Linked DNA regions of Canis lupus familiaris. The protein of the gene in region 2 purifies or fractionates together with the protein of the main gene of each other region. This does not show direct contact. Links are inferred from orthologs where the notes say so. Each region holds a gene or a part of one and is shown on either strand. Other genes may lie near its edges.

Region 1 (4,556 bases), on a different chromosome or scaffold from region 2:
TCCTGTCAACTCCCTCCTTCCCACCTTCTCCATCTTTCCTTCCCAAATCAGTTCTAGTCGAACGGAGTGATTTCCACACCCTGGAAAATTATTATTACTGTGATAGGGATTAAAAATGGGAAGCTAAAGAGATGAAGTTTAAGTGACACTTGGGGAGGAATTCTGAGCGGGTAAGGGTGGGTTCCCTTGGTTGCATAGGTAAGGAACCCCCCCCCCCTCCTTTTCTAACCAGTATTTCCAGCATTTAGGGAAATAAAGGGCCCTAAATGGGCAGTCTCATGTCCCCCCCTCCCCCACCAGCCAGTCAGAAAAAGGTCAAAGTGTGAAATTCCACACCTTGCAGGGCCAGGTTGGCCAATTGATTTTTGAACCCACACCCCCCGCCCCGGGGCATTTCAAATTTATGTCAAGCAAGGAGTCCTCCAAGATTTTCCAGTCTGGCTTCATTCTGGCCTGAAGAGCAGGGGAGAAAAAGGAACCACCTAGACCGCAGGGGATTTCACACCAGATGATGGAAGGAGGACTGGAAAGAGCACAGGAAAGACGGCTGGAACCACTGGCTGCGGGCTGGCTGGGTGGGAGGCGCCACCAGAGGAGTGTCGTCTCCCCCCTCCCCCGCCCCCACCCCGAGGGCGGGCGGGCGAACCCCTCCCCCCCTGAGGAGGGGGCTCAAGTCTCCGCACCTGGGCAGGAGTTAAGGCCCGCTCTTCTCCCGTGGCCTTCCTGATTTACTGCTTAGGAGGAGAGGCGGGACCGACGTCAGCATTCGGGGCGCTCCAGGGACTTTTGGGGTCACTATGTCCTCAGAACCTAGGGCGGGAAAGGAGACGTCTCCACTGCGCATTCCCCCTGCTGCCAGCCGCCCGGGGGGGGCCGAGGTCGCAGCACCCTGGGGCGCTCGCAGGGGGACGCCAGCACCCAAGCCCCTCGGCAACGCGCCGCGCCCGAGCGGCCACGCGGCGGCACGTGGCGGCCTCGCCCGGGGCTGCCGGCCCTCTCCGCGCCGCGGCCCGGGAACTCCACGCCGGCTCCAACCGCCCATCACTGCGCAGCTCTCGGCGAACCCGGGAGAAGCCGGGAGCCGGTGGGGGGCAGGGGGACCGTGAAAAGCTGCTCTCCCCAGCTACGCCGACCGCGCCCCGGGGCGCACTGGAGTCCGCACGCCAGGCGGAGACCGACCCGGGGGCCGCGGGGGTCCCGGAAACAAGTGCGGGTCAGTGCGCATCCCCCGCCAGCCGGGGCTTCCGCCGCTGCGGGGATGGCGGGGCGGGGCGCGGGCGTGTTTCAGGGGCGCTGGGACACGGAATGCATCAGACCCGCGCGCCCGCCGCTCCCGCGCCGCCGCGGCCGCGGGGGAGGGAAGGGGAGGGGAGCCGCCGCCCGCGGGGCCGGAGACCCGGGGGCGGCCGGGGCGGCGGGGGGAGCGGGCGGGCGGCGCGCGCCGTGCACTTCCTGTTCGGGGCACGCGGCCTCCGGGCGCTCCGCGCTCGCCGAGCCTGCGTCCGGGCCGCGCCGCCCCTGGCCGCCGGCTCCCGTCCCCCGTCCCCCGTCCCCGCGCCGCAGCGGGCGCGCCCTCCGCCTGCCGGGCCCGCGAGCCCAGCCGCCGCCAGCCCTCGTGCGCGCAGCCGAGCCGGAGCCCAGTTGCCGGGGCGTTCGCGGGGACGCCTCCTCCTCCCTCCCCCCCCTCCCCCCTCGCGCCCAGAAGGGGGACGGGCCGAGTCCCAGGCTCCCGGCTGGCGCATTCTGCGGCCGAGGATTCTATTTGCACACAAACTGTCGGCTCTGGCCAGCTTGTCCGCCTCGGCGCGGGCACGGGAGGGCTGTCTTCCCGGTTGCGGTCTTCACCTGCACCTGCCTTTCAGATTACCTCTGGGCGTCCGTGGGCGGAGCTGAGAGGGGGGAAAATGTTGCTTCGCCTTGCAAAAGGAAGAAAACTTTGTCACCCAGCGGGAGACCTCTGCCACGCGTAACCCGGAGGGACAGCGGAGCCAGGACCGCCTTTGGCTTTGGTTTTGCATCGCTGAGCCCGTGAGGAGGAAGGGGACACGTGAACTCCGCGCTCTCGCCGCCCGCCATCCCTGCCGGCGGCGGCGGCCGGAGGTACCTGCGCCACCTTCCCTCCCCGCGGAAGTCCCCGCGCCGTGTCCTCGGGGTGGAAGGACGGTCGCGAAGAGCGCGCGGCTCGAGGCCGGCCGCGGGGGCCGGCGAGGAAGGAGAGGACGCGACTGCAGGACGAGGCACCCGGAATTAACTTCTGGCTAAAGTTATGGGAAGCGCGGCCATGGACACCAAGAAGAAAAAAGATGTTTCCAGCCCCGGCGGGAGCGGCGGGAAGAAAAACCCGAGCCAGAAGCGGCGTTCGCTGCGAGTGCACATTCCGGTGAGTGCAGGCAGCGCGGTCCCCGCTCCCGCCCTCGCGCCGCCGTCGTCCGCCCCGGCGCCGAAGCGGTTAAGGCGGGACGCCCCGCGCGCGCCAAGCGTGCCCCTCCTGTCACTTCGGGCGCTCGGGGGTGGGTGGCGGCGCAGGGTCGCGCTGGGCCGCCGAGCCCGGGCTGCGTCTCCCTGCCCAGCTGCGCGCGGCCGGGGCTCGGCGAGCGGCGGGGGCGCGGGGCGCGGGGCGCGGCTGGGGCGGGCTGGGCGTAGCCCCGAATCCCGCCCGGTGCGGGTGCTGGGGGCGGTGCGTAGTGTTGTTTTGTTGAAAAAGGACGGTGTGGACTGCGCTTCGGAGAGGTGGAGCCGCGCGCGGCTGCCGGGGACGCAGGGGAGGGGCGGTGGGCGGGGACAGCGGGCGGGGTGTGTGTGTGTGTGTGTGTGTGTGTGTGTGTGTGTGTGTGTAGCTGTGTGCGTAGCTGCGCCCCCAAATGGACCTTTCTTCTCTCGGATTCCTCTCCGAGTGTGCCTGCGCCCGGGGCCCGGGGCCCGGAGCTGCTCTGCCCACCCCCCGCCCCCGGGAAGCACATTTCGGGCTTTTGGAGACTTGGGGTTCCCCCAGGCGTGCAGAGCTACAGCGAACTTCAGCCCCGGCCACGCCGGCAGCCCTGCCTGGACTTTGGTGGCATCGATCGGTCCGCGGCTACTTTGTCCGTCGCGAGGGAGCGCCGGGCGGGGTCGTGCGCCCACCCTGGGGTTTTGCAACCCGAGCAGCGGGTGGTGGCCTTCTCCGGCCTCCCTACGAGCAAGTCAGGTGGGAGGACGTGCGGCGCAGCCCTTACTTGGGCCCTAAGGAGACCCCCAACTGGGTCAAGCCCCTGGTCCCCAACCACCACCCAGTGAATGTTTGTCCAAACAGGTACATGCAGATGCACACACGCACACACATACACAAAGAGTAGAGGAATCCATGAAGAATGTGATTTTGTTTGTTCTCGGGCCTGGGCACGGGGTGGGAGTGCACAGTGGATCCCTCTCTCTGAAAGCTGCTGCAGACTGGGCAAACTGGGCAGGACTGGGGTGGTGCTGCCTGCCTGTTCACTTCCCACTGCAGAACCCATTAGGTGCTTTGCTTCCGTGTTTATTGATCGCAGCTCCTTTGCCTTCCATGTGTGCACACGTTTGGGTAAAGAAGGTCTCAGCCTGAAGATGAGGGGTTAGCCAGCCCTCCCTTTCACGGGGGAGCTCAGGGTGCGGGTAACCAGCTGCTGTGTGGCTACCAGGGTGGTGACCCAAATATGCAAGAATGAGCATTCTATTTTAGAATGAGTTGTTTTTGTTTACGTTGCTAAGATAATTAACAGATATTTTTAAGCCATATTGTACATGAAAAATTAGGCATAATATACCAGGAACGCTGATTGCTTGAGCGAGCCCTTCACTTGGTTTCTCCCATTTGTCAGAGATAAGAATTTGCTTTGCCTACCTCATGGGGATGTCAAACTAAAATAAGTCATGGGAAAATTCTTGCATATTTAAAGTATTATATATATGTATGGCTATCATGGTGACATCAGAGCAACTGGTTTTAGAAGGAGAGATCTAGAGAAAAGAAAGTGACACCGCCTGGTGGCAGGCCATATTGTACTGAGGTGGAGTGGCCAGGCTGGTTCCAGATGCCGCGTGGGGTGTGTGTGTGGGGCCCCTGCAGCAGTGGTGTTAGTGGTTAGTGTGAGATAAAATCCAGAACCCAGAAAAGGAGTAAGAGGCCATGCTGTGAGAGTAGAAAGGCCATAGTGTAGTTGGAATACACTGACCACCCCTCTTGCTGTTGGATGTGATTTTGGCTGCTTAAAACAAACTTCTGGCATGACCCATCCTTTACCCAAAGTGGTGTTCACTCAATTATCCCACAACACGTGTCTAGTACTCTTGATTGGTGGTGAGATCTAGGGGTGCAAGGGAGTGGCTCTGCCTCCCTCCTTATAGGGCTTGTGTTTGCTGGTGGGACCAGGGGGTCTTCTCAGTGACCATCTAGTAATTGCCTGTTGCTGACTGTGTTGGGCTAGGTGAGAGCCTCTAGAGTTAGACTCTGGACTCTAGTTAGACTCTAGCTAGGTGAGAGACTGGCATTCAGACAAATGCTAGTACATGACCCAAGGGCATCAGATGACCAGTGCTTTTAG
Region 2 (4,633 bases):
TAGCCAGGATTAGAAAAGGGTAATTTGGAAATATAAAAGATAATTCAAGCATAATCCCAAACCAACTTTAGTAGTCTGTTTAAACTTTCCCCTCACAATGATATCATTGTTACCAAATGACTTTTTTAGCCTGTAATAGGAAACAAAATATCACTGCAAATTTATAGTTTCCTTTGCCCCCCAAAATAAAATTTCTTCTAAGCATATAATATCATAGTGGGAATTTGTCTGTGTATCAATATCATCTAATATTAGATGATATTGTAGATTAATATCATCTAATATCTAATATTCTGTTAGATTCCTTTCCTATGTTATATTTACCAACGTGTAACTAATTTTAAAAGCTCTATCTACTCCAAACTATCTCCATTGAAATACATGGCTAATCATATCATTCATAAGAATTCCTGTCAAATTAAGGCTAGTGTAAGTTACCAACACCACCATTGTAACAGCTGTTTTAACCTGCTCAAATGAGCATCTATGTCCACCTCTCTCTCTCCTAACAATTAATACCCATTCTGTATAGGTATTTATCCTGTCTCCCTCCACTAAGTATATCAGAATAAGATGCCCTCACCACACACACACTCAACAATGGGCCATATTCCACCATGGGTAACACTATCTCCCTTGCGAGTACCTACTTAGGAACATAAGCCTAAACCAATTGGCACAAGGCATCCCTGGTCCCAAGGACTAGATGAGCCCATGAGACTCGTGAGAGGTATGCTGAAGCTTCTGTGCTTTGGAGAGAGAAGCACAGAGATATTCTTGGCTAGGTTGATTTTCTATTACTATACTTGGAGCAAAAGCATCACAACTGCTTGACAACTTAAAAATGCACTGGATGAGGATTTTGACCAGTATCAACTGATGTATTTATGAACAAATTTAACCCTATCAATGAAACCTTTGATTCTTTGATGAATATTAGCTTTTCTATGATACAAGAGGAGAGGTTGATGGTATTTAGTATTCAAGAGAGGCACATGTGGAAGAATGAAGGCTAAGGAACAGCACTCACTGGAAGGATTCTTGTCACAGACATCACAGATCAAATTCAGAAAATGAAAAATCTCCTCTTGCTTTCCTATTTACCACCATGCCAAAAGCTACCTAGCAAACACAAATATGAGACCTGAATTACACAGGTCTTTATTAGAATGATGAGCATCCTAATCCAAGCAGAACCCTGGGAGGAATAAGGGCATCAAGACTGTCATCACTATTCTGGGGCATTAATGAGCACTTCTTACAAATATTTGTCAACTAAAAGCAGTTAGTAATTGCTAACAAGTAAAGAGACTGACAACATAGCTAAAAATAACTTTGAGGGCACAGAGACATCTTACTGGCCTAATATAGACCCACCCTGATGGCTCTTATTACCCTATTCTGGCATTTGCTTCTTACTTTCTTACATTGTTGGCCTTGCTGATTTTCATAAGAAGGCTTAGGCAGTTGCTTCCCTGTGGGCTATACAGCAATTTTCCAGTTCTATGACTCAGAAAGAGCAAGAGAAGGAAGGGTTCTCCTCTTCCATCCCTAGATAAAATCAGAAAATGTTTATTTAGCTCCGGTAAAGCAAGGCTCAGTTAATTCACTGTTCAGACTTTCACAACTTTTTTTCTTTCAAGTCAAACATTTACCAAGAGCTTGGTATATGCAAGTCATAGGTTATTTATCCAAAGCCAATGCATGAATTATATTTATCAGTTCCATGCTTCCTTCCTCTACATCCCTAATAGGTCAAATATCTTAAAGAAAAAATATTTATGCCTCACAAAATTTGCAATTAAACTTTTTGTGCCAGAATTGGTGGACTCGTGATCAAATGTGTTATTTCTAGAATACTGTGTTGAAACACAAGGGTAAGAGATTCCATACTTTCCTTAAAAAAAGTTCAAATGATGTGCGCTAAGTTATTAAAACACACATATCCTGTGAAAATAAGTGGAAACAAACTACGTTAATGAGCTAATAAATACCGTCTGGGGGCAACATCTGCACTACCTACCAAGTTTGGCACAGAGTCTGCAAAACTGGTAATTCAGAAACACTTGAAGGCACGGAGTCTGCGTTCAGAACATAAACCGTGCATCGCAAATACAGGACCAGTTTTATACTCATTAACTGCTCCGAACAAAAATTAGTCATCCTTCCCAACAAGATGGCCCTTTAAAAAAAAAAAAAAAAAATTCCGTAAGCTACCCCAAAGCAAGCTTACTTTCTGGGGGAGGCTGAGGAGGGGGCACCCATCGCACACTAAGAATCGGCCCCGGCAGGTAAGGGGAGAACCTCCTAGAGGGGACGGAAACGCGGACGACCCCGGGCGCCGCCAGGGGGGCCATGGGCTGGCGCGGAGCCGAGGGAGCGGCCGCGGGCCCCGGGAGGCCCTCGCCCCGGCCCCCCGCCCCCCAACCCCCGCCCCCCGCCCCGGCCCCCCGGGCGGCGCAGCCCCGCCGGCCCCACCTGGGCGAGTCCGCACCTCCGCACCTCCGCACCTCCGCAGCCCCGCCCCGCCCCACGCAGCGCCCAGCCGAGCCGAGCCCCTCGGGCCGCGGCGCCGTCGCCATGGCGACCGCCCCCTCCCCCCCCCCCCCCGCGGCCAGGCAGGGTCGCGCCGCAGTCCCGCGGCCGCTCGGACGCCGCTGCCGCCGCAGCCAGGCCGGGGGCTGCCGAGCCCGGGGCAGGGGGGCAGGGACGCCGGGGCGGGGGGCGGGGGCTGAGAGGCGCGGACGGCGCGCGGCGCGCGGGTCGCCGGCCGCCGCCGACCCTCGCCCCCGCGGTCCTCACCCTTCACTTTGCCGAAGGTGCCGACCCCCAGCGTGTCCCCCAGGATGTAGTGGCCGATCTTCACCCGCCCGTCGTGTTTCTGCTTCTCGGCCGTCGCCATCTTCCTCCAGGAACTGAGCCTGCGCATGGCGCCGCGGGAGGGGGCGGAGGGGGCGGGCAGGCCGCGCCGGGGCGGGGGCGGGGGCGGGGGCGGGGAGGGGAGGGGAGGGGACGCGGGCGGGCCGCCGGGCCTCCGGGCCTCCGGGCCGCCGAGCCGCCGCGCCGCCGCCAGCCGCGCCCGCCGGGCCCCCGCCCCCCTCGGCGCTCCCCCGCCCCGGCGCCGGCGCGCACGCTCCCCCTGGCGGGGCGGCGGGGGTCGCCGGCGGGGCCGCGGGGCCTCGGAGCCCCGGAGCCCCGGTTCCTCGCGCCGCCGCGCCGCGCCCCGCCCTGCCCGGGCCCCGGGGCTGCGGAGCGGGCGGCTGCGCTCCCCGGCGGCCGGTCCTGCCCGCGGCGACCCCGCTGCCGGCGACTCCCGGGGCGGGGCGGGGCCGGGCGGGCGGCTCTCCGGCGCCGCGGGCGGTGGGACGCGGCCGGGGACTGCGCCGGGCCGCCGGTTCCCACCCAGCCTGCTCATTTTTGCGGTGCGGATGGACCTGAGAAGCCCCCGGGAGGTGCCCCGACGGAGAGCATCTCCGACGGAGCCCCCTCGGCACCGGTCCCCTGCGGCTGCGGCTGCGGCTGCGGCTGCGGCTGCGCTTGGTGCCGTGAGCCCGTCCGTTGCCGCCGGGCGCCTCGACAGCCCTAGTGGCGTCGTCGGGCTTTCCTGCTCCTGGAGGCTTTTCTCAAGTTTCCTTCCCCAGGCAAGCCCCGTGGGAAAGGGCCGGTTGGGAACCCTGCGAACGGTATGTGTGCTCAGGAATGGGGTGTTACACACGTAGGAATTAACATTTTTAGGTTTCCGGTAAAATGTAGACTTTGAACTGAAGTCGAGGCTTAGGGTTGCATCAACCAAGTCAGTCGACAGATACTTACCGTACTTGCGATGAGTACAGTTTAGTCTATCATCTATACAAATGGGATGTGGCCTGTCACGGGGGGGGGGGGGCGGGGGGGAGGAGTTGAAATATGCTTGTTGGTATTAAATTTCTTAAAAGATCTTATTTATTCAGGAGAGACCCAGAGAGCGGCAGACACACAGGCAGGGGGAGAAGCAGGCTCCCCACAAGGAGCCCGATGTGGGACTCGATCCTCGGATCACACCCTGAGCCAAAGGCAGGTGCTCAACCGCTGAGCCTCCCAGGCGTCCCTGTGTTAAATGTTTAAGCCAGTTCACTACTCAGTTGAATTCCACTGACGTGAGCAAAGTGAAGTGTCCAAAAAAACAAGATACGATCTCAGTTTTGCAGTGTGATAGCGTTTGGGCCAGTGTCAATGGGCAGAGTTGAACCCATCGAGAAAATAATATAAAAAAGTAAGACTAAAAGTATTATCCTTTTTGTACCTAATCAAAGTTACCCAGCTCGTCTGACTGTTATATTCTGTTTATGAAAGCAAAATAACATGCATTAAGTACTGCAAGAGAAGCAAAAGCTTGAGTTTAGAATTACATCAACAGTTACAACTAGCCCTGGATAATCAGTTTCTGATGTATTATGGACTGCACATATTCTGAAGGGCCATAAAGTTAAGAAGTCTGATTACTAACATACTTGGGGAGTGGGCAGTGGTAACTGTTTTTGCTCTGTGGTCTCTTCATCTTTACTTGTTGCCTCCTGAGTTTCTGCATCTCAGGCATCTTGGATCTCTACAAAGCGGAAATAGATTACTGGATTCTCTTAGAAAAAGAAAAACT
Region 3 (3,942 bases), on a different chromosome or scaffold from region 2:
TGGGGAGGGCACAGATCAGATAGCTGGGGAGAGTGTGAAGATGAGGATGTGGATTAGGTGGCTCGTTTTGGATAGCAGGTGGAGGAAGGATGCAGGAGAGAAGAAGCATTTTGGTGGAGCCTTGAAGAAAATGAAACACTCCATGATGAGGGTGGTGTGTTACCAGATTAAGAGCGAAAACACTCAGAAAAGCAGATGTTTGAGAGAGGAAGATTTTGGACAGCTTGTATGGGGTGGGAATATCTGGAAAGAGCAAGTATCACGTTTTCTGGAATGTGAATTCTTTTAAATTTACTTTCTAAAATACTGAGTTTAATGTTCCTGTATTTTAAGGTCATAAGGTTTTTTTTTTCCTGTGGGAGAATGATGAAGGTGCATGGGAAAATATTATGTAAAATACTTACTGTATAGAAAAGGTCTGGTTTTCTTGGGCGAAGAAAAGTGTCTCAGTTTGTCTGGAAACCGAAAACACACAGAAGAATTTCAGATTAGCCACTTAATTAATTGCCTGAAAGCTTGAGGTCAGAATCTTGGGTTGCCAGTCCTGAGAAGCATCCTAGAGACACGTTTGTCCAACTCTCGATTCACAAATGAGGGAGCTGGAGATCACTTGTCAGAATCCCGGTTTTTAACTGTTGAGCTGTAGCCACACTTCTTCATTGTTCACATGTTCTTGTTGGCTATGGAGACCCCAGGTTGCAGACACAGGATAGGAATCTGGAGACATGTTGGGTGGTCCCACCCTTGGGATCGGAATCTGGGTAGGAAGCCAGGTGCCCATTAAGATCCCTCCATCCAGATGTGTATGTGGTCTTCTGAAAGCTTTCTTGGTTTCTTATCTCTTTTGGATTGTGACTGAAACAAATATTTCTACCAAAAGTATCCTTCATATAAATACAGGAAGCATCAAAGTGTTTATAAGTACAAGGAGCATGGGCAGCCCTGATGGCTCAGCAGTTTAGCGCCACCTTCAGCCTGGGGTGTGATCTGGAGACCCGAGATCGAGTTCCATGTCGGGCTTTCTGCATGGAGCCTGCTTCTCCCTCTGCCTGTGTCTCAGCCTCTCTGTCTGTCTGTTATGAATAAATAAATAAAATCTTAAAAAAAAATAAGTACAAGGAGCAGTAGGATAGTAAACAAGGGGAATAAGAATTGTTTGCAAGGATGTGTTTTAATGAAAAGCAGCATTCATTAGACCTGTGAAAACATGTAAGGAGCATATAAGTTGATAAAACTGAAACTTATAAAAACTAATGGCTAGAATTGATAGCTTTTTGGTTATTAAGAACACCCATTTCGAGCTCTGGCCTTAGTTTGATTAATGCTATGGGACTTACTAAAGAAAGCATGTTAATACATACATAATGCAAAATACTGCTGCTAAGTTCGTTTTTAAATTTTTGTGCCAGTTCATGAATGTCATAAAACAAAGGTTCTGAACATGGAGTTCACCCACAGGCTCAGGGATCCATGGGATCTTCTGCAATTGTGTTTATAGGGATGTATCCTTTTTTCTCAGAGGAATGTCAGTAGCTCTCAAAAGGCCCTTGAGCAGAATGTTAGATTATCAGAAGCTCCCTGAACCCAGCAAGGGTTGAGCAGTGCTGCCCTGGAACCTCAGGCCATGGGCCCTCAGAGGGGGGCCTTGTGTGACAGGTATGCATCTGCTGCATGAAGTGTGTAAAGTGAGGTGTGTCCTGTCCTGCTCTGCCTTGTGCCTCAGGTGGAGATAAGCCGACGAGTAACTCTGGAGAAGCTCCCTCCTGTTCTTGTGCTGCACCTGAAACGGTTTGTTTACGAGAAGACTGGTGGATGCCAGAAGCTCATAAAAAATATTGAATATCCTGTGGACTTGGAAATCAGTAAAGGTAACACACGTGGGGAGCGAAAGCATTCATGGTGACAGTTCTCCTGGGAATCAGTGAGCATGGCTCTTAGCGTTTCTCTGTAATGTCGAGAGTAAGGAAGTTCTCTGTCATGACTTGTTGGTTTTAAATTTCTCAACTTACAACAGACCTTGGTATTAAAATTGGCACCAAAGTAGCTCTTGAAAAATAAAGGCAAAAATGAATAAACCATATAATCCTACTAAGTTAGAAAAAGGAGATTTTTGTTCATCAAAGTGAGCACCATTTTCCTAGAAATGTTTTATGGGTTAGTGGTACAAAACAATTTTCTTTTTACTAAGTGTTAACTGCCTAGAACAGCCTGGTGAAATGAACTTTTTCAGTGAAGTGAGAGAATGTTGCCCATAGGCCACTGGGGGTCCCTCCAACCTCACATTGCAGTGACACTGGGTCAGATCAGTGGCATTCTCTCTGCCACAAGCATCTGTCAGGTACTCAGAGCTCAGCAGCATCAATGATTTTCACCAAAGCCTCAAGTTCAGGTTGTCTTGGTGAAAGCACAGCTTAAAGAGGAAAACTTTCCTTGAAAGCTTCAGGATTCGTGAAAAAGATGCTGTGTGGTTCTGGGCTTGATTGGGAACAAACTAGAGGCTTGTTCTAGTCAACTGGGAAACAGGAAAGAGATTGTGGGAATGTCATCTCTGGGTTTTGCAGAGGAACAAAGCTGTTGCCTTCCCCTCGTCTTCCATCCCTGCCACACAGTATTGCCACATTCCACTCCTTCCCAAGCCTGCTGACCAGAATCCCAGACAGAGGAGCTGCATTTCCATAGCCAGTCTTCAGCTGCTAGCTCTGACTCCTGTCCCAGGGTATTGTCCCATCCACCTTCACACTTTGAACTGCTTCATTCAAAGGCAGCACATTTTCCTGATCCCATTTGAGAACCAAAGGAGAAGGAATGCCAGCTGAGAATCATATACTGGGTCGTCCATGCTGTTGTGCCTTGGCTGTCAGGGAATGAGGAGCACAGGCTGAGCCCAACAGGGCAGCCTGTGCCCTGTACTCCTGCAGCTTCCCTCACGCCCAGATTACCTGTCTGGACTGACTAGATGGATTTTATGTTTATATCTTTTCTTGTTAGATGTATTTTTAGATCACCTGCTACCTTAAATGCTTTCTAGAAAGAGAAATGAGTTAAGGGAGGACCAGAGACCCTACCCTGGTGTGGGTTGTGGGTGGGGGATGGGAGGGACCAGCCACTCATGGCTGTGACAAGGGTCCATCTGCAGAGGGACCGGGGGCCCCCGAGGACAGGGCTGCCCACCTGCCCAGCTGATGGGCCATTGCCTCTCTGGTGAGATCGTCGGACTGTCACACAGTGCAAGTTTTGTGGTCTTATGTGTAAAACATTTCGTTCTTAGGTTTCCTGGGGCTGTTTTATTTCTAAGCGGGCAGCTTTCTTCTTTTCCAAATATCTGCTTTTAAGGGGTTTCTAGCATGAGCTCCTTGGGACCGGTATATTCTTTCTGAACGGACTGGTTGCTGGTTATGTGCATTGCTGTACCATGAGGCTGGTCCCCCACCCCCCACCACAGGCAGGGCTTGTGCACGTGAGGGGATACAGTGGGGTTGGTTTTCCTGGTCTGCCAGGTGGCGGATGTGAATGGGGACCATTGTCATCTCTTTGCTCTGTCATTCTGAGACTTTCTTTAAGTGCTTTTATAGATTGCAGCTGTTGGTATTTTGTTTTTCAGAACTGCTTTCTCCAGGGGTTAAAAATAAGAATTTTAAATGCCACAGAACCTATAGGCTATTTGCAGGTAAGTAAATTTGTATATTATTTCCTTATTAAAGTAGTGATAAAATGCCACCTAACAGAGAGAATAGACTCCTCTACTGGTGTCCCCATGGACTTGATAATTCAGTAAATCTTTGGAAATATGTTTGTCTTGACATTCGATGTTTGGAATAGGACAGAATTTTTGGCTCTAAGCAGGATCCAGTCCTCATTCGGCATCATTACTGTCTTTGAGTTAGACGTGTGAATGTGAGGCCACTGTGCTGGGTGGTTGGAGGTGTGACCCTTCCTGCCTCA
Region 4 (3,942 bases), on a different chromosome or scaffold from region 2:
GAAGCAACAGGCAGTGGAACAAGGAGCTAAGCTTGCTATTGAGGATCAGATCCGACTTATTTATTTTGGAGCTTGGCTTCTTGAATTGTTTCCCACAAACCCAAGGGGTGTGTGCCAATGCTTTCTTAGAAACGTGTTTCTGGCACAGAAAAGTTATATCCAAATAAACAAAAGACACCAGGCTTGAGAAATAAAGGTTCTGGTCAGTGGTGTGAGTATAACATACCCAAAATTGACCAGAAAACAGGTTGGAAATGTGGGAGGTAAGTGTTGAAATGTACTGAAACCACATTGTAAGATATTTTCATGTTATACAGGCTTACTGTTTGTCACAGATCTCACTTCTTCATTAGAAGCTGTAGGTGGTGATAATGTTATTCATCCTGTATTGAATTATATATATATTTGTCAAGATCTGACTTAAAAAATGAAGGGAGGAAATGCCTGAAACATCATAATTAGGTAAAAAAAAACACCTTTAGTTGTCCATAAGCCTGATTCATAGGATTTATTTTTACATTTAAAAAGGGAATTCCATGAATCTGGGCTGGAAAGGTGGTGGCCTTTAGAGTCCGACAAAATAGTTCTGGGCCAGCACCTTGGAGCTCTGGCTTTTTGCCCACAAGGCAGCCCTCCTAGTGTTTCCTGTCTGTCTTTGCACTGCAGTCCCACAGGATGCAGTCCTAGACATTATCATTACATGAAGGCTCTTTCCAGGTATTGAAAGTGCAGTGTTCTTTTTTTCCTACTTTTCCAATAACTGAGATACATAGATAAATATAAAAGAGTTTTATTTTGTAAAATGAAAGGAGAATTGGTTGCCCTTGTTTTTAAGTATGTTAAATTGGCTCTGTTTGGTTTTTTCTCAGCCAAATCCTTTTTTTCCTTTCTAGATTGAGCTCCTTGATTTCAAAGGAGAAGATTTATTTGAAGATGGAGGCATTATCCGAAGAATCAAACAGAAAGGAGAAGGATATTCAAACCCAAATGAAGGAGCAACAGTAGAAAGTAAGTATCGCTGTGACAGTGAACTGGTCCTTAAAAATTGGGTTCCATTTATAGGGAGAAAAGGGAGGTTTCTTTCTAAAAATCTATTTATAGCAATAAACAATTGAATATAGCCCGAGAATAGTTTTAAATTCAACATTTATTTAATACTGACTTTATTTGGTAAATATTTATCTAGCATGCCCATGCCAGGTACTGTGCGAGCTTCTGCAGACCCAGAAGGTGAGGAAAAGGTAATCTTATCCATCAAGTCCCAAGTCTATTATGGACTCCTTGGTGTGCCAGCAACTATATTAGCTGCCTTACATATTTATTCATTTATTTCTTAAAATAACCTTACGAGATAAAATTTATTATCTCCAGATGAGGAAAATGAGTTCAGGAAAGTTATATAAATTGCACAGAGTACAGAGTTCTAAACAGAGCAGTTAGATTATAATGCCATTCAGAGCTCTCAAACCCATCTCACTGGCTTTCCTCAAGGTCAAAAAGTTTATTTTAGTTAGATCATAATTGATAATAGTGTTCATTCTATTCTGTGTAGGAAATCTGGGTTCAGGTTGCTTTGCCATTTACTGGATGACTTAAAGCTATTCTGTGTTTTTATTTGCTGTGTTGGGAATAAGGAGATACTGTCGAGGACTGGGATACCCAGTCACTCTTTGTTCCTCCCAGAGCCTGTTCTGTATACCATTATGTACATCACTTGCCACTTTATGCTGTAATCAGTGTTTACCCATTTCCCCAGTATGCACCTTGAGGACCAGAATCTTTCTTCATCTTTTTGTTTCCAGCATCACCTACAGGGCCTTACATGCATTTGGTGTTCGGTAGATGCTTTCTGCGTGGATAGATGTTTGAAAGATGCCATTCATTTGCTTCATAAAGCTGAAATACTTTAAAAAGGAGAGTTGTGAGAAAACAGAAATATTTCCACTAAGAAAACAATCAAAGCACTAAACAAGGGTGGCAATATGAACTATTATAAAAGGCCTATTTAAAATAGAGTCCAGGGTGCCTGGGTGGCTCAGTCAGTTGAGCATCTGCTTTCAGCTCAGGTCATGATCCTGGGGTCCTGGGATTGAGCCCCATATCAGGCTCTCTGCTCAGTGGAGAGTCTCCTTCTCCCTCTCCTTCTACCCTTCCCCCTGTTCATGTTCACTCTCTCTCTCTCTTGCTCTCAAATAAAATCTTAAAAAAAAATAAAAATAAGTTAGAGTTCCTTTGGAACAGTAAGCTAGAATGGTTGATTTTCTTATCTTTACTGTAGTATTTATTATTTGAGACCCGTGTTTCATTTTGGGGAGTCTGGAAGATTAGTTCAAATGGAGTTATTCATTTAGGTGGAAACAATTATAAATAGTATTACTATATTATTGCAGTTGAAATGTTTAGGTAGCTATCATTCATGGTAAGTTTTAGAATAAACGAAGAGGAGCTCAGATGTTAGAGAAATACATAGACCAGTAGTCAGAGAGAGGATTCTGGCTTCAGCGGACTCTAACTAACCCTTGAGTCTCTGGGCTTTAGCTTCCTTTCTTTACAGTGATCCTGTAGGTCCTGCTAGCACTGAGCATTCCATGATAGAATTCTAAATGTTTATGAAAGTCACAAGGATGATAGAAAATTATCTTTAGCAAGTACGTGAAAAGATTATCTATACTACACATTTTAATTTTTTAATGAAAAATTTCAGGCATATACAAAAATGGAGATTTTTCCCTATGTTACAGTTACTCCTCAGATTCAACAGTTTATAATGTATATTTCTAAACTGGAGGATTTTGGTAACCAAATTAAAAGGAAAAACTTTTCCCAGTTATAAACAATGCCGCAAAGCTACCACTGCAGAGTTAACTTTGGGGCAGGCTAAATTAAATCAGATCTTGCTTTTAGTAGTATTTTCAGTGGGAATCTTTATTTTCAACTTTCTGTTTTAAAATAATTTTCAACTTACAAACTGTGAAACTAGTACAGAGAATTTTCTTATATGCTTCAAGCTTTTCCTAATGTTCACATCATCCCTCACCACAGTACATTTATCAAAATCAGGAAATTAACAAGGAGCAATACTATTAACTGTTCTACAGATCTTAGGTGAGTTTCATCAGTTCCCACACTGATGTCCTTTTTCTGGTCCATGGTCAGATTCAGGATCTACTGTGATATGTAGTCTCTCCAGTCTGAGACAGTTGGATCAGTCTTTCTGTGATTTTCATTATTTTAGCACTTTTGAAGACAACCGTCTGGTTATAAAATATACTTCAGTTTGGGTTTGTCTGATTAGATTGAAGTTACACATTTTTTGGAAAAATATCATATAAGCAATAGTGTGCCTTTCTCAGTTCAATCATTATCAGGAGACATGTGATAGTGATGATGTAACTTGGGTCCCTTGGTTAAGGTGGGATCTGCCAAGTTCTGCTTTGTAAAATTTCCTATTTTTGCCTTTCTAAGTATCTCATTGGGAGAGAACTACTAGGAGATGGATGATCCCAAGATCTTCTTTTACATTACACCTTAACAGTGATTTTAGCATCCATGAATGATTTTTTTTCCCCATGGATGACTTTTGTATGCAACGGTTATAACTGTAGTATTTGCCTAATGGTGATTTTTCTATTTCCATTGTTCCTTCTTCAATGTAATTGGAATTCTGCTATAAGGAGGGGTTTCTCCTCCCCTATTTATTCAGTTGTTTATAATAGTATGGACTCATGGGAGTTTATTTTATTCTGTAGGTTATTATTCATTGCTATCTTATTTATGTTGTTGCTCAAATTGTCCCAAGTTTGGTCATTAGAAAGTGCTTTTCAACATACCTCCTGTGGTTTTTTTTAAAGCACTTCCTTAATTTTTCCTTTTTATTTCTCTCTCTCTCTCTCTTTTTTTTTTTTTTAGATTTTATTTATGGGTTGCATAGGTAGCTCAGAT
Region 5 (4,523 bases), on a different chromosome or scaffold from region 2:
TGGGGCAGGGCTTTCCTAGACACTGTCTTCTGAATGAGCATATGTGTTTCTCTAGGATTCTACAAAATGCTCACATTCTTGATGTCAGTACAACATTCTACTGAGCATATCAGACATGATTCTCCTACTACAGAGAGTTGTCATTTTCTCTGTTATATATAATCTACAATGAACAGAAGGCTTTTGTTTGTTTGTTGTACATCTGGCAGAGATTCTCAGGAATGGAATCACTGAGTCAACACATATGAACTCTTTTAAGGTTCTTGATTTATATTGCCAAGTTCAGCGAGCGCCGCTACCTTTTAGCATCTCCCATGAAGTAGGGCTGCCCTGCAGTATGCTGGCAATGGGTTGCTGACTCCTCTCAGCTCTGGGGAACCCCTGGGCGGCCCCCCATAGCTTCCCAGTGGCTTCAAGGCCTCCGGCTGGTCCCCTGCCACCTCGGGCAGCCTCACCCATTTCCCCCATGCACGGTACAAATATTATCATCTACGTGGCCTGTGGCCGGAGGCAGGTTGGGAGGCACTACCACAGAGCTCTAATGTGCCTGAGTGGAAAAGTGCAGGCCCCGAAGGTTAAGAACACATGGTTCACATCCGGCTCCCTCATTTCAGGTCCCACCTCAGGCCAGGGGCCCACACCAAAAACTCCTTCACCATTGACTCCTCCTAAAGCAGATGAGCCCATCTTTGATCTTCCTCTCAAGTCCACCCCCCTCTTTTCTGGCTCTTACTGCCTCTACCCTGGGTTAGCTCCTCACAACTGCTTGGTCCATTACAGTAGCCCAGTGGTTGTGAAACTTAAGTGAGCAACAGAATCACCTGGATGACTTGTTAAAACATTGATTGTGGGGCCTCAGCCCCAGAGTTTCTGATTCAGTGGGCCTGGGGTGTGGGCAGAGAAACTGTAATTCCAACACGTTTCCAGGTGATGCTGCTACTGTTGGCCCAGGGACCACTCTGGGAAAAGCACTATAAACTCCACGTGGGCAGTAACCATATCTGTCTTATTCCAAGTAACATCCCACATGATGCCTGCACATAGTTGATCCTCAATACATGCCCATCAATGACTGAACTGAATGACTCTTGAACCCGTCTGTCCTGTCTCTATATTACAGCTAAAAAGACAGCTAATCCAATCACTCCCTTGCTTATAACCCATTAATGGCTCCCCATCATAATTTTTTTGAAATGGTACTTCCAGAGGAAGCCTCTTCATATTTTGATTCTAACACACTTCCAGCTTCTTCCAGCTTCTTATCCTACCACTCTCCTAACATGCTCCAAACTGCTCATCATTCCCGAAGAGGCCAGCTTCACCCCAGTCAGCTGCATCATTCAAGGCTCCTTTTCGCAAGAAGCTTCTCCAACCCCTCGAAACAGAGATGATCACTTCCTTCTCTGTGCCCCCACCTCTTCATAGTCTACTGCACCGGAATAATTTTCAAAAACTTTTCTGAGAAACTGCTGTTCCCAGGCACTGGGAGTGAGCAATGCTTCCCGTCCTATTCCTCCATCAAATGAGGAGTTCATGATATTTTCTATATTGTCAGATTTCAGGGTCTAGCACAACGCCTAATATTTGGGCTACTACTAATAACGCTTGCTGATCAAAAGTGAATGAAAAGCAAAGTGAAGGAGTGCAATGCGGCAATTATCCAGGTAGTTTAAATAAAAGCCTTAAGCCTTCTGTCCTCACCCCCAATGTGTCCCTGTCCTCAGACCCCTCAGCTTACAAAGATGGGGGAATAAATTACTCGTCTCAAATGTTCAAGGTTATCTACAGACAGTACCTTGAAAGCAGTATAGGAATGAATGTGTCAGGGGACCTGGCAATCTGGGTGGCTCAATCCGTTAAGCATTTGCTTTTGGCTCAGGTCATGATCCCAGGGTCGTAGGACGGAGTCCCGCATCACCCAGCTCCCTGCTCAGTGGGGAGCCTGCTTCTCCCTCTCCTGCTCCCTCTGCTTATGTGCATTCTCTTGTAGGAGATAAAATCTTTTTTTAAAAAAACGTTTTATTTATTTATTCATGAGAGACACACAGGCAGAGACATAGGCAGAGGAAGAAGCAGGCTCCTCGTAGGGAGCCCGATGTGGGACTCGATCCCAGGACCCGGGGATGACCATCTGAGCCGAAGGCAGATGCTCAACCACTGAACCACCCAGGTGCCCCCAGTAAAAAAAAAAGGAATTAATGTGTCCTGCACCTCAGACTCTGGCAAAGAGCCTCTGAGTCACTCAGTCATTCATTCAACAAACTTTCACGGAGCAGCTGCTCGGGTGCTCGAGGCACAGGCCTCTTGCAGGGTGAACTTGACGCGGGCCTGCAATCCAACCAGCAAAGCTGTACGTGAGGCTCCTGGTACAGAGCGAGCGCCACCGTGCTAGCTATTGCCCTCCTGCGCAGCTCACCCAAGAGGCAAGCTCGGGGAGGCCAGGTCACTGCAGAGGAGCAGAGGAGCACGGGAAGGAGCTCCCCGCCTCCCGGTTTCCACGGTGTCCGTCTGGGACAGCAAAGGAGCCCCAGACCTCGTTCTCCCGACGCGGCCCGGCCTTCACTGGCCGGCTGGCCCTGCTCAACCAACTTCGGTCTCGGGGTCTCGGTCTCCCCACACGTAAGATGGGGGGAGGGGGCGTCGGCCCGGCCCCCACGCGCTCCCAGCGGGTCCCTGCAGGGCTGGCGCTCCCAGGAACGCCGTGGCCCCCAAGGCCCGAGGTCCTCCACGCAGGAAGCGCTGTTATCCGAGAGTTCAGGCGACTGCGACCGCGCCGCACAGCCGCGACGGGATGCACGTGGACGCGCCGCCCCCGCGGTCCTCGGTCTCCGCGCTCACAGCCGAGCCCGAGCCCGAGCGCGCTCTCCACCCCGCCGGCCCCACCGGGCCCGCCCGATCCTCGCGGCCACCCAAGCTCACCAGCCCAGGCCGCAGTCAACGCCGCCCGCCCGCGCGCCCGCCGCGCCGGCCCAACGCGCCTGCGCCAGCGGGGTGCCAAGCCCCGCCTCCTGGCCGCCGTGCCAATCAGAGAGCCGCTCCCACGGGGAGCCAGGCGCGCGGGACAGGCCTTCCGGAAGTTGAGCGAGGGAGCTAGAGCCCCGCTCTCCTCCACGACCATAGATAGACCGGGACAGCGAGGAGTAAATTACCGTTCCGGAAGTCCCCTCTAGGACTTGGGGAGGTGTAACTCTATGGTAAGAGCCTGGCGCGGCGTGGGTGGCGTGGCGTGGCGCCCCGCTCTTGGAGTGGGACGGCCGCCGGCAGTGAGCCTTTCCGGTCGGAATCTACCCTGGGACTTCACAGGCTTTCCACTTTTTTTTTAAGATTTTATTCATTTATTCATAGACACACATAGAGAGAGGGAGAGGCAGAGACACAGGCAGAGGGAGGAGCAGGCTCCATGCAGGGAGCCCGACGTGGGACTCGATCCCGGGACTCCAGGATCACGCCCCGGGCTGCAGGCGGCGCCAAACCGCTGCGCCACCGGGGCTGCCCCAGGCTTTCCACTTAAATGCATTTAAAATTGTTAAGGATTTTATTTATTTATTTGAGACTGTGCGAGCAAGAGAAAGCGCAAATCGGGAGCGACAGAGCAAGAGGGAGAAGCTGACTCCCTGCTCAGCGAGGAGCCCCATGCAATTCTGGGCTCCATCCCAGGACTCTGCGGTCGTGATCAGAGCTGAAGGCAGACGCTTGACCGACTGAGCCACTGGGCACCCCCATTAGAAAAAAAAATGTTTTTTAAAAGATTTTATGTAATTATTCATGAGAGAGGCAGGGACACAGGCAGAGGGAGAAGCAGGCTTCCTGCAGGGAGCCTGACGTGGGACTTGATCCTGGGCCTCCGGGAGCATGACCTGAGCCAAAGGCAGACGCTCAACCACTGAGCCACCCAGGTAACCCCCCCCCCCCATTTAAAATTTTTAAGTAGAAAAAAAAATACCTTCATTACAAAGCCCAAGACAGTTTTTAAGACACTAAATCAAATGTTCATTCCCAAATATATATATATATTTTAATTTTTAAAGATTTTATTTATTCATAGGAGACACAGAGAGAGGCAGAGACAGGAAGAGGAAGGAGAAGCAGGCTCCATGCAGGGGAGCCCGACATCAGACTCAATCCCGGGACTCCAGGATCAGGCCCTGAGCCAAAGGTAGTGGCTTAACCGCTGAGCCACCCAGGGATCCCTCAAAATACTTTTTTGATTAGCTACCACATACCAACCACTTGGAGAAACTGGGAATAGAACAAAGTTCCCTGCTTTCTTACATTCTAGTGAAAAGAGTCCATATAATTAATACAGTGAAATTTAGGAGGGGACCAGGAACTCAGTAACCAAAGTAGTATTTTTATGCAGTTAATCTAAAAAAACCCAAAATTAATGTAAAAATCCGTGGTGAACAAAATACAAAAGTTTTAAATACAGAATCCATCAGTATCCATGCATAGAAAAAAAATTAACTATGAAAAGGGAATGGACTGGATGTAGAGTGGTTGCAATTTTTTAAAAAGTTTATTTA

Evidence for each region.
Region 1: the proteins of PRKAA1 (region 2) and PRKAG2 purify together in Homo sapiens (affinity purification with mass spectrometry; 8 studies listed by BioGRID and IntAct, counting the BioPlex papers as one, with this or other methods). This does not show direct contact. The link is inferred for Canis lupus familiaris from reciprocal best matches to the Homo sapiens genes PRKAA1 and PRKAG2.
Region 3: the proteins of PRKAA1 (region 2) and USP10 purify together in Homo sapiens (affinity purification with western blotting; 3 studies listed by BioGRID). This does not show direct contact. The link is inferred for Canis lupus familiaris from reciprocal best matches to the Homo sapiens genes PRKAA1 and USP10.
Region 4: the proteins of PRKAA1 (region 2) and FKBP5 purify together in Homo sapiens (affinity purification with mass spectrometry; 3 studies listed by BioGRID and IntAct, with this or other methods). This does not show direct contact. The link is inferred for Canis lupus familiaris from reciprocal best matches to the Homo sapiens genes PRKAA1 and FKBP5.
Region 5: the proteins of PRKAA1 (region 2) and PARS2 purify together in Homo sapiens (affinity purification with mass spectrometry; 3 studies listed by BioGRID and IntAct, with this or other methods). This does not show direct contact. The link is inferred for Canis lupus familiaris from reciprocal best matches to the Homo sapiens genes PRKAA1 and PARS2.

What each region holds. Positions count from the first base shown.
Region 1 is NC_049237.1:16,510,168-16,514,723, reverse strand, and holds the start of PRKAG2 (5'-AMP-activated protein kinase subunit gamma-2), read left to right. Parts: upstream 1-1,711; 5' UTR 1,712-2,266; coding exon 2,267-2,380; exon of another isoform or gene 2,381-2,508; intron 2,509-4,556. UniProt on the Homo sapiens protein: AMP/ATP-binding subunit of AMP-activated protein kinase (AMPK), an energy sensor protein kinase that plays a key role in regulating cellular energy metabolism.
Region 2 is NC_049225.1:69,495,298-69,499,930, reverse strand, and holds the start of PRKAA1 (5'-AMP-activated protein kinase catalytic subunit alpha-1), read right to left. Parts: upstream 2,930-4,633; coding exon 2,803-2,929; intron 2,372-2,802; exon of another isoform or gene 2,358-2,371; coding exon of another isoform or gene 2,234-2,357; intron 2,158-2,233; exon of another isoform or gene 2,024-2,157; intron 1,552-2,023; exon of another isoform or gene 1,420-1,551; intron 1-1,419. UniProt on the Homo sapiens protein: Catalytic subunit of AMP-activated protein kinase (AMPK), an energy sensor protein kinase that plays a key role in regulating cellular energy metabolism.
Region 3 is NC_049226.1:68,236,903-68,240,844, reverse strand, and holds part of USP10 (ubiquitin carboxyl-terminal hydrolase 10), read left to right. Parts: intron 1-1,723; coding exon 1,724-1,868; intron 1,869-3,601; coding exon 3,602-3,667; intron 3,668-3,942. UniProt on the Homo sapiens protein: Hydrolase that can remove conjugated ubiquitin from target proteins such as p53/TP53, RPS2/us5, RPS3/us3, RPS10/eS10, BECN1, SNX3 and CFTR.
Region 4 is NC_049233.1:4,937,611-4,941,552, reverse strand, and holds part of FKBP5 (peptidyl-prolyl cis-trans isomerase FKBP5), read left to right. Parts: intron 1-893; coding exon 894-1,008; intron 1,009-3,942. UniProt on the Homo sapiens protein: Immunophilin protein with PPIase and co-chaperone activities. Component of unligated steroid receptors heterocomplexes through interaction with heat-shock protein 90 (HSP90).
Region 5 is NC_049226.1:54,855,204-54,859,726, reverse strand, and holds the start of PARS2 (probable proline--tRNA ligase, mitochondrial), read right to left. Parts: upstream 2,874-4,523; 5' UTR 2,417-2,873; intron 2,411-2,416; exon of another isoform or gene 2,212-2,410; intron 1-2,211. UniProt on the Homo sapiens protein: Mitochondrial aminoacyl-tRNA synthetase that catalyzes the specific attachment of the proline amino acid (aa) to the homologous transfer RNA (tRNA), further participating in protein synthesis.